2 linked regions of the Sus scrofa genome follow. The protein of the gene in region 2 interacts with the protein of the main gene of each other region in a pairwise test. Links are inferred from orthologs where the notes say so. Each region holds a gene or a part of one and is shown on either strand. Other genes may lie near its edges.

Region 1 (4,568 bases), about 31 Mb from region 2:
ATTTCTATGCCTCAGCAATGAAAGCATTGGTCTTGCTTGAACTTGAGGGCACTAACAGCTCTGGGATTTGATATTCAAGATGCTTAAACAACCCATGACACTTCCCTCAAAAATACCTCCATAGTTCCCCTCAGTTTGGGTCAGGCCTGAAACAAAAAGGTGTAAGAAATGGTAGGAAAAGCTTCAATGACGACTTCTTACTTAGATAAAGAGCCAATGAAAATGGCAATAGTTGTCTCTACCTCAAAGGAAACACCAGTAAATTTCCTTTAAGTAAAACTCCTTTAGGATAGAACATTAGGAGACCAGAACAGACACACAGGAGTTGTTGGGAGGGTCCTTCTTCACCAGCCCTTTGGTTTTTTTTTTTTTTTTTTGGGGGGGGGTGTCAATATCTCATTCTGAAAGTTCCAGAAAAATCATCCCTGGGCTGCTTAGTTCAAGGAGGAAGAGAATGGCAGCTGTGTTTGTTGAGTGGGTACATTTGTGGGAGTGACGGACACAGAAAGGCCAATGTAATATCCTAATTAACACACTTCTCCATTCCGACTCCCTTTCTCTCACTCTGCCCTCCTTTCTTTTACTGAAAAACAAAGGAGGGGTTGTTTAAATGGCTATGGAGATAATAATTCCAGTATCTCCTTGAACTGTAAGGAGACCTAAATATTTTTACATAATTTAACACCTCAGAGATGAGAAACCAGAAACGGATTTTCACCGCACCTCAAAGCAAAGCTCTCAGCTCCTATGCAACCTGTCTCAAACCCTGATGCATCAGAATTGCTGAGTGCTTTGAAAAAAATACAGATTCCTAGGAACTCACCATAAAGCGACTCAGAATGTCCCACAGTGGGGTCCAGGGATGTGTCTTTTTGACAAGCTCCGACAGGTGAGTCTTTTATCCACAGCACCTGAGAACGCTGGCTCTCTGATCGAATCAAGGTCGTACCATAACTACATAGGTTGTCTCACACAACCTATCTCAAGACATTTCAGAAACTTTTTGAGTACTACTTGCTCCAGTAAGTATGCTGTTTTAGAAGGCAGAAAGCATGTCATGTGCTAATTATGGCCAGTGACACCATAAAACAGAAGTGCGTTACTGAATGCTTTCAATTTCTTATAATGATGGTAGGTGGCATGTCATGGGGCCTTTTTAGCCCCAGACATCACTCCAGAGAATTCCAAACAGATATAGACAAGGGCCATTAGGACCCAGATCCTTTCCTCTTGGGCTGTTTGCCCACGGGAATAGGATGTCCTAAAGCAACACTTCCCCCAAGTGACGTGTTGATAAGTCTGGTTATCAGAAAGATATTATTGGGGGTGTGATACACGGGGCATTTACATTTTCCTGATAGGCTTGGTCATATGAAAGCTGACAAAGAAGGAAAAGGAGCAGCGGTGTGGTGCAATGTCAACAGACAGCTGTCCCCTGGCTTCCCGATAAATAGGATGACTTGCATTGCTGAGCGGTGCGGTCACTGACAAAGGAATGGCCCTCTCACATTTCTTCCTGATTCACATATTCAGTGGGGTTACTTGCCCTCCCCTCCCTCTCCTGCTTCCCAGACACTGAGTCTGGAATGAGAATTCACCTGCCTCTGAGTTGGCCACAGGAGGGGGCGGGCTGTTACTTGGGTTCCCAGGTTGGAAGATTATCTCACCCGGCCCTAGCTATATAAACTGACGGCAGTGGAGGGGCTCCCAAGGGCTGACTCCAGGGTTCATCCCCCAGAAGAAAACCATACAGACGAACTTCAGGTCAACATGATGGTTCTGAAAGTAGAAGAGCTGGTATGTAAGGCATTATTTTACACAGTGGAAAACAGTGCAGCCTTGATTTTTATTTGAAAATTGAAATGCCCTTTTCTTTCAGGCATAATGCATAGGTACTCTGAATGTGTCATATATGGAAAATGGTTGGTTTATGTGGTGAAATAAGTGAAACTGGAAAAGATGGAGTTGCCAGGAATGAATTCTCTACCTACTTCCTATTTATTATCTTCTTCGGTTTTCTTACTAAAGTGTGGAATCACATATAGTTATCCAAAATGCCTTAGGGGAGAAGTTCTATTGCAAGAATATATATCTGGAAGCTACTACGCAAGGCAAGGGATCATCAAAAGTACCTAAAATGAAAGAATTTTAAATAATCTCGGGGTGGGGGGAGGTTGTTATGATTTTGCTAGGAAAAAATGTGATTAAGTGGATTAAAAGTAGATTTAAATACATCAACCTAACCTAAACCTTGATTTAGCCAAGACAGGAGGACAAGCATTTGAAGATAATCCCAGAACACTGAAGCAAGGCATCGCGGCCTGCCATCTGAGAGTGTGGGGCATGGAGGCCACTGTCAGCAGAGAGGGAGGCCCAGGGGCTCTCGCCGCATCCTCTGTGGAGAACGACCCCAGGACAGGCCCTGCTACTTCTGACCCTGCTGTCTCCTTCCCTTGCAGGTTACAGGGAAGAAGAACGGCGGTGGGGATGCTGGGGAGTTCCTTCCTGAGGATTTCAGAGATGGAGAGTATGAAGCTGCTGTCACTTTAGAGAAGCAAGAGGACCTGAAAACCCTTCCGGCCCACTTTGTGAGCCTGGGAGAACAACAGTGGAAAATTGAGAAAGAGCGCGAGGCCGAGGTAAGGACCGTCCATGAAATTCACCAGAGGGAGCTTGGAGGTGGAGGTGCCAGGCAGGAAGGAGAGGAGAGAGACAAAGTGAATGCAACCATTCCAATGACATTTCTTTACCAAATTCGAACCGATAAAGAGGCAACTTCAATGGGAGAAGCTGTAGGAAATAATTCTTTGGCAAGACTATGACCTCTGGATTCAGAATCAATCACTGAATGTCCTATAACCATGTTCTGACTGACAGACTCAGAAAGAGAAACGTGTCCAGTGAATTCCTGATGTCATATACTGCCAAGTTAATCCCAAGCAAGGGAGCCTCCTTTTTCTCACTGATGTGGTTTGTGGTCATTGTGATCACTCTTTGACTGTGGCCTCTTTCTGTGCTGACAAATGTATTGCTGGGTGAACTTTCATTACTTACTAACCACAGATGAAACATGCATTAGTGAGCTGTAGTTCCTGGGACAAGACCGTCTGTTTCATGAGCTCTGCTTAGTGGGGCACCTGAGAGACACTGGCATTGACATTTTAGAGCTTAAAACTTACCACTGGAGTCTTCTGAGTTAAAAGAAAAATCATGAGCATTATAGAAATAATTACAAAATCATCACTTAGAGACTAGATCCTATCTCTAATGAAAAGTTCATGCTTCAAGCATCGAGATGTGAAGATGAAGGCAATTAGCTGAAAAATTAGACCTCAAAATACCTGAATAAGAAATCACTAAATTGAAGTCAAAGACTTATTTTTAATTTTTTTTACTTCTTATTTTTCTGCTCACACCGTTCACATACCTAGCTTGGATCTTAAAGATTTTGTTTAGACACAAGCAGAATGCTTGTCAGTAGAACTCACTGTATTCTGAAACATGGATTTCTTTTTTAGCTCAAGAAGAAGAAACTAGAACAAAGATCAAAGCTTGAAAATTTAGAAGACCTTGAAATAATCATTCAACTGAAGAAAAGGAAAAAATACAGGAAAACGAAAGTTCCAGTTGTGAAGGAACCTGAACCTGAAGTCATTGTAAGGGTTGTCTGGTTTTGCAATATTACGCCTCGGTGTTATGCTAAGAGGAATGTCTGTTGGGGGGTTTGACTGAATGTTGGAAGCTCATGGTAACCTTCACCCTGTGTTTCTGGCTTTAGACAGAACCTGTGGATGTGCCTAGGTTTCTGAAAGCTGCCCTGGAGAATAAACTGCCAGTGGTAGAAAAATTCTTGTCAGACAAGAACAATCCAGATGTCTGTGATGAGGTAAGACTTCTACAAAGCACTGCAAAATCCAGCTCATTAATTTTGTGCTTCTTATGCTTTCTTGCAGCCTTGCTAATCTGGTGCCAAAAAATCAATCCACCTGAAACAGTCTCCCCAGCTGTTGCCACATATGCCAGTAGCTTTAACAGGAGAGTGCAGTGGTCCAAAAAGAGAAAATGCTGGATTAGCGCTATGGACTGCATTATTTTTTGCACTCTCATATACTTCTGACTGATTTTTCAGTTTATCTTTAATTGTTAGATCTTTGGGATAGACGTTTAATAAGGCAGGACTATTGAGTCCCCATTAGAGACATATATTATTAGAATTATCTTTTGAATCAAATACATCATCAGCTCTACACAGGGAATCCACAGACTGAAGTTTAAGTGCTGTCTCTAACACTATTTGCCTATTCGATTTTTAGCAGCCAATGTGCATCTTCTAGACCTCAGTTTCCTTATCTGAAAATAGAGGGCACTGGAGTGAAATAATGCCTCAAGGTGTTCCAGCACACACAGTCTATTAATTCATTTATATGAAGCATATTTACCAGAAATTACTAATCCTTTTTGTATCCTTTCCCCCATGAATTGAAATGGGGGATCATTTCTGAAGTTGAACTAAAAATGTCTCATATTTTTGTGAAAATGAATTGAATACTTTCTGATATCCAACCCAG
Region 2 (4,358 bases):
ACTTTTCAGGAAATTAGTTTTAAGGAATAGAAACTGATTCTCATTAAATCACTGATACATTTTAGGAAATTTGGCTATGAAAAGCCAGTATGGAGCTAAGTTCTAATATTTTAAAGCTGAGAGTTTTTCGAACTGTTTGTCCAAAGGTTAAGCAAAAGCAGACGATAACAAACATTAAAAGTTGTTAACTAGAAAAAAAAAGTTGTTAATTAGCGATCACAGAAAAAATGGAGAGGAGAAAGCCGTCAGCCTGAGAATAAACCCAGTAACAAATGAGTTTGGATAACTTTTTCAGAAAAAGACTAATCAGGATACTGTTTAAAAGTCAAAATACTATATAATGTAACATATTACAACAGCTAGTTATTTCGTAGTACCTGGAATAAACTTTTTGTATATTATTTTTGAAAAAAAATCTATGCCAGATTTCTTCTTTCATAAGCATTACCAAACAATGAAAAAGAATCCTTAACCAAACCAATGTCTGCCCCAAAATCTACCTTGTTAAAAGTATAGGCTCTTTGACATAAATTTCATGCATTTTCAGAGTATTAATTTGGAAAAAAAAAGGTTAACCCTATTGTTTCAATCTTGGAATAAGCCTGTGTTTTAAAAAATCAGATAAATGCCATTGGTCATTTGGTTTTTTTTAAAGATCATTCTTAGATTTGAATAGCATGAAATACATTGGCTTAACCCAAGCTTTCTTAATTAAATCACACAACTGCTTGTAGGATTTCTTCCCATTCATTCATTGGACAAATATTTACCTATGCCTACTGTGTACTAGGTACTGGATATAAAGCAGTACACAAAATATACCCCAATTCCTGACCTCATGGCATTTACTAAGAAATCTTTCTACCTTTTTTAGTTACTGTGAGACTCCCTGCAGTATATCGAATAGATATGAAATTTGTTTATTATGATCACATCAGAAACTTCACTATACCTTCTGTTTAGGAACTTTGAAATGGGCAAAATGAAAAAGAGTATTGAGGAAAACTTGAAAATAATACAGGTCAAAGGAACTATTCCTGAGTAGGGAAGAGGGCACAAGGATATGGATATATGGATATGTTATATGGATAGGTTATTGGATTAGAGTTATATGGGTAGGTTACTTTCATTACTGCATAAGCTATATCTTCAGTGTACAGGCTTGTTTGCTCTCTTACTTAATCCTGCCCTGAAACTAAAAGACTACTTAGTTGTGTTTCTGTGTTTTCTATGTATGTACATGCTCCAACAATTTATTTTTTTGTTTAAAGAGAGAATCTTCCCCTACTGTCCTATTCAGATCTTGCGGTATGGTCAACATAAGTGCTGCTAAGTCTTGAATAAGGACATGGAAAAGTGGAACTTCATTTAACAAATTTGGTTTTCCAAAGGAAAATGCTTCTATACACTGTAAGTGAACCCATTTCTACTTCCCTGCAAACTGTCGCATGATAAGCCTGGTATCCTACCTTTCACCCAGGTATAGAATACTGAGGTGGCAGGAGATACATACTGAAAGATAAAATACAGTTGGTTGGGCAATGGAATTAGGAATCAATAGGAAGAATTAAAATCAGTTTGAAATGGGAAAAAAAAAAAAAGACTTGCAGAAGAAGGACCCCAAGTATGTCTGAATAGCAGTCATCTTTCTCTTCATTTTTACTGTAATGTTTTCAAATGCAGATAGTGTACAAACTTTTTTGAGCTCTTTGAAAAAGAGCTGGATATAAACATTTTAAGTAAATAATATTCAGCTACTGTGGACACCTTGTTTGTACTACATTAAACTTGCATTCTAGATTCTAGTTTTTTTAGAATTAGTTTCTGCTCCCAAGTAGTGCAACTCCTACTTTGCGTATCGTCTTAGTAATTGTATAAGTATTACACCACAAATCTACTAGATTAGATTTTACCAGACTTTACTGATACAAAGAATAATTTTTAAAACTTAAGAAAAAATATATCCAACATAGTTAGAAACAAATTCCATAAGTGACAAGTAAACACAAGCTTACATGCCTTAAGCCTAACCCATAAAGTTGAGTGGCTCATCTAACACGTGTTCATTGTGGCTTGAACATGATCCTGTGCTTGCCCTCAGCTGTTTTCTTAATTCAGTCACTCAGCTATAGAAACAATTTACTCACATTGGGGTGATCCACAGGAATGCCAAGGAATCTGGAAGATCTATGACAGAGGAAGTCTTCACTTGGAGGATAAGCATGTGAGAATTTCTGTGCTACTAAGATTCAGGTTAAATTTTTGTATTTGCTCTTTTCCCATTTGCTATAGATTTTTATTCTTTAAAAGAAATTTCTTACATTTACCAAATTTTCAATGAGTTTTGCTTAAAGTTCATAGATTTATACTGAGTTATTCCCCCCCAGTATCACAAGAAAAAAACAACAATCCCCTATATTTTATTTTTAAAGAACAGAGACATGTATTATTTTCTAAACATTGCTAATGAGAAGAATACACCAGAGACAAGGTCGTGATCATCCAAAACAATATATGTATGTGGATTAGAGAGGATCTTATACAAACCTCATGATCCCATGTAATTGAGAACTACATTTAAATCCTTGAGAAAGGTCTTTCTTGTTTCAATGATAGTGAAACCACTTGCTTAAAACTCAAACTAAAAAGCAGTTAAAAGCTCTAAGTTCAAAACCTATTTAGTTTTAAAAACTAAAATCATTTTTAAAACCCTCTAAATAGAATACTTTTTATCCTGAAAAGTAAATTTGTGATTACCTGTCCCAGGAGAAAGACCATCCTTATATCAATCAACCAGGAACATCCAAAGCCCAAATCTCACTGCCTAACTTGTGTCAGCCGCAAAAGTAGCATGAAGGAAATGTGATACTGCCCCGCCAGAGTAATGAAGGGTATTTACAGGGTTCCGTGGCAGATCCAGGGACAGTCATTTAGAACAGATTGCTCTTTTGGATCCACTTTAATAACTCAGTCTGCACGATGTTCTTATCCTGGATGGGTGGTGGGGGTGGATAATGACTAAGATGACTAAGGAAAAGACTTAACTTGATTTCTCCTTAGATTTGATGAAAAGGGTAATAATGATGACACTTTAAAGAATAAAACATAAGGGATGCACAAAATATCTGTGTGCAGGATGCATGTGACACATGTAAACACCTTCACTTAATACAAAGTTGAGTGTATGGTTGATATATTTATTGAAGTAAATCTGGGGAAATTATCAATTATTATGAACTTAATATATGCTCCCCCATTTGGGGGGATTAGATTAAAGCTTTACTATGTGGCTTCCATGAAAGCACAGTAAGGCTTCCTTTATTGTGCGTTTGATATAAGGACATATCAAAATTTATACTTTTTAGGAAGTATTATTTCTAGAAGAAAATCTATTCCCAGAGGGGTTTTTTTAGTTTTTTTGTTTTTTGGGTTTTTTTTAAAGAGCATCTATGATTAACATTAAGTTACTGAAGACATCCAAGATAATTAGTATCAGGTGTGTAATCCTGCACCCACAGTTGATTTCCATTGCTCACCACATTAATGTAATGGTTGTAGGAGTTCCCTTTGTGGCTCAGCGGTAATGAGTCCAACTAGTATCCATGAAGACATGGGTTCGATCCCTGGCCTCACTCAGTGGGTTAAGGATCCGGCATTGCTGTTGCTGTGGCTGTGGTGTAGGCTGGCGGCTTCAGCTCTGATTGGACCCCTAGCCTGGGAATATCCATATGCCTCATGTATGGCCCTAAAAAGCAAATATATATATATGTGTGTGTGTGTGTGTATATATAAAATGTACTAATGCACATCTAAACTTATCATCTTAGTAGAAATAAGTTAACATTCCTTAGCTATATGCTAGGAACTATGCTAAGCTCTTTATGGACATTGTGCTTTGTTTTACATATTCCTTCAACAATCTGTGAAGTAGGTACTATTAGAATTCTTACTTTGCCATGAGAATCCGGAGCTTAGAAAGAGGTTAAAAACTCCAAGGTCACACGATGAGTAAGTGACTGAGCCAGGCTTAAATCTAAGGTTAACTCTTAAGGCGGTGCCCATAACTGCTGTACATATTTAAAAGTTCATGTTTCTGTGGTATTTGGGGGAAAAAAATTAAGGGTAAAAATGAACAGAAAGCCTACTCTCTCTTTTAGTAAGTATTTTAAAGGAACACTCTGTGGAATTTTAAGTTCATAATTTTTCTGAAAGAAACCAACCCTGATTTTCTTTTGTACGAGTAAAGAAACAGGCAAAAAGAGAAAATATAAAAAGAATAAAAGCAAGTGCTTTCTGATACATTCTATCTGTAGTATTCTAGCTGAGAACATGATTTATAGGTAGACTGAGACTTTAGG

What was found.
Region 1: the proteins of MYPN (region 2) and ANKRD1 interact in a two-hybrid assay, tested with the Homo sapiens proteins (2 studies listed by BioGRID). The link is inferred for Sus scrofa from reciprocal best matches to the Homo sapiens genes MYPN and ANKRD1.

What each region holds. Positions count from the first base shown.
Region 1 is NC_010456.5:102,609,981-102,614,548, reverse strand, and holds the start of ANKRD1 (ankyrin repeat domain-containing protein 1), read left to right. Parts: upstream 1-1,710; 5' UTR 1,711-1,770; coding exon 1,771-1,797; intron 1,798-2,459; coding exon 2,460-2,639; intron 2,640-3,518; coding exon 3,519-3,656; intron 3,657-3,778; coding exon 3,779-3,886; intron 3,887-4,568. UniProt on the Homo sapiens protein: May play an important role in endothelial cell activation. May act as a nuclear transcription factor that negatively regulates the expression of cardiac genes. Induction seems to be correlated with apoptotic cell death in hepatoma cells.
Region 2 is NC_010456.5:71,297,371-71,301,728, reverse strand, and holds the start of MYPN (myopalladin), read right to left. Parts: upstream 2,846-4,358; 5' UTR 2,758-2,845; intron 2,188-2,757; exon of another isoform or gene 1-2,187. UniProt on the Homo sapiens protein: Component of the sarcomere that tethers together nebulin (skeletal muscle) and nebulette (cardiac muscle) to alpha-actinin, at the Z lines.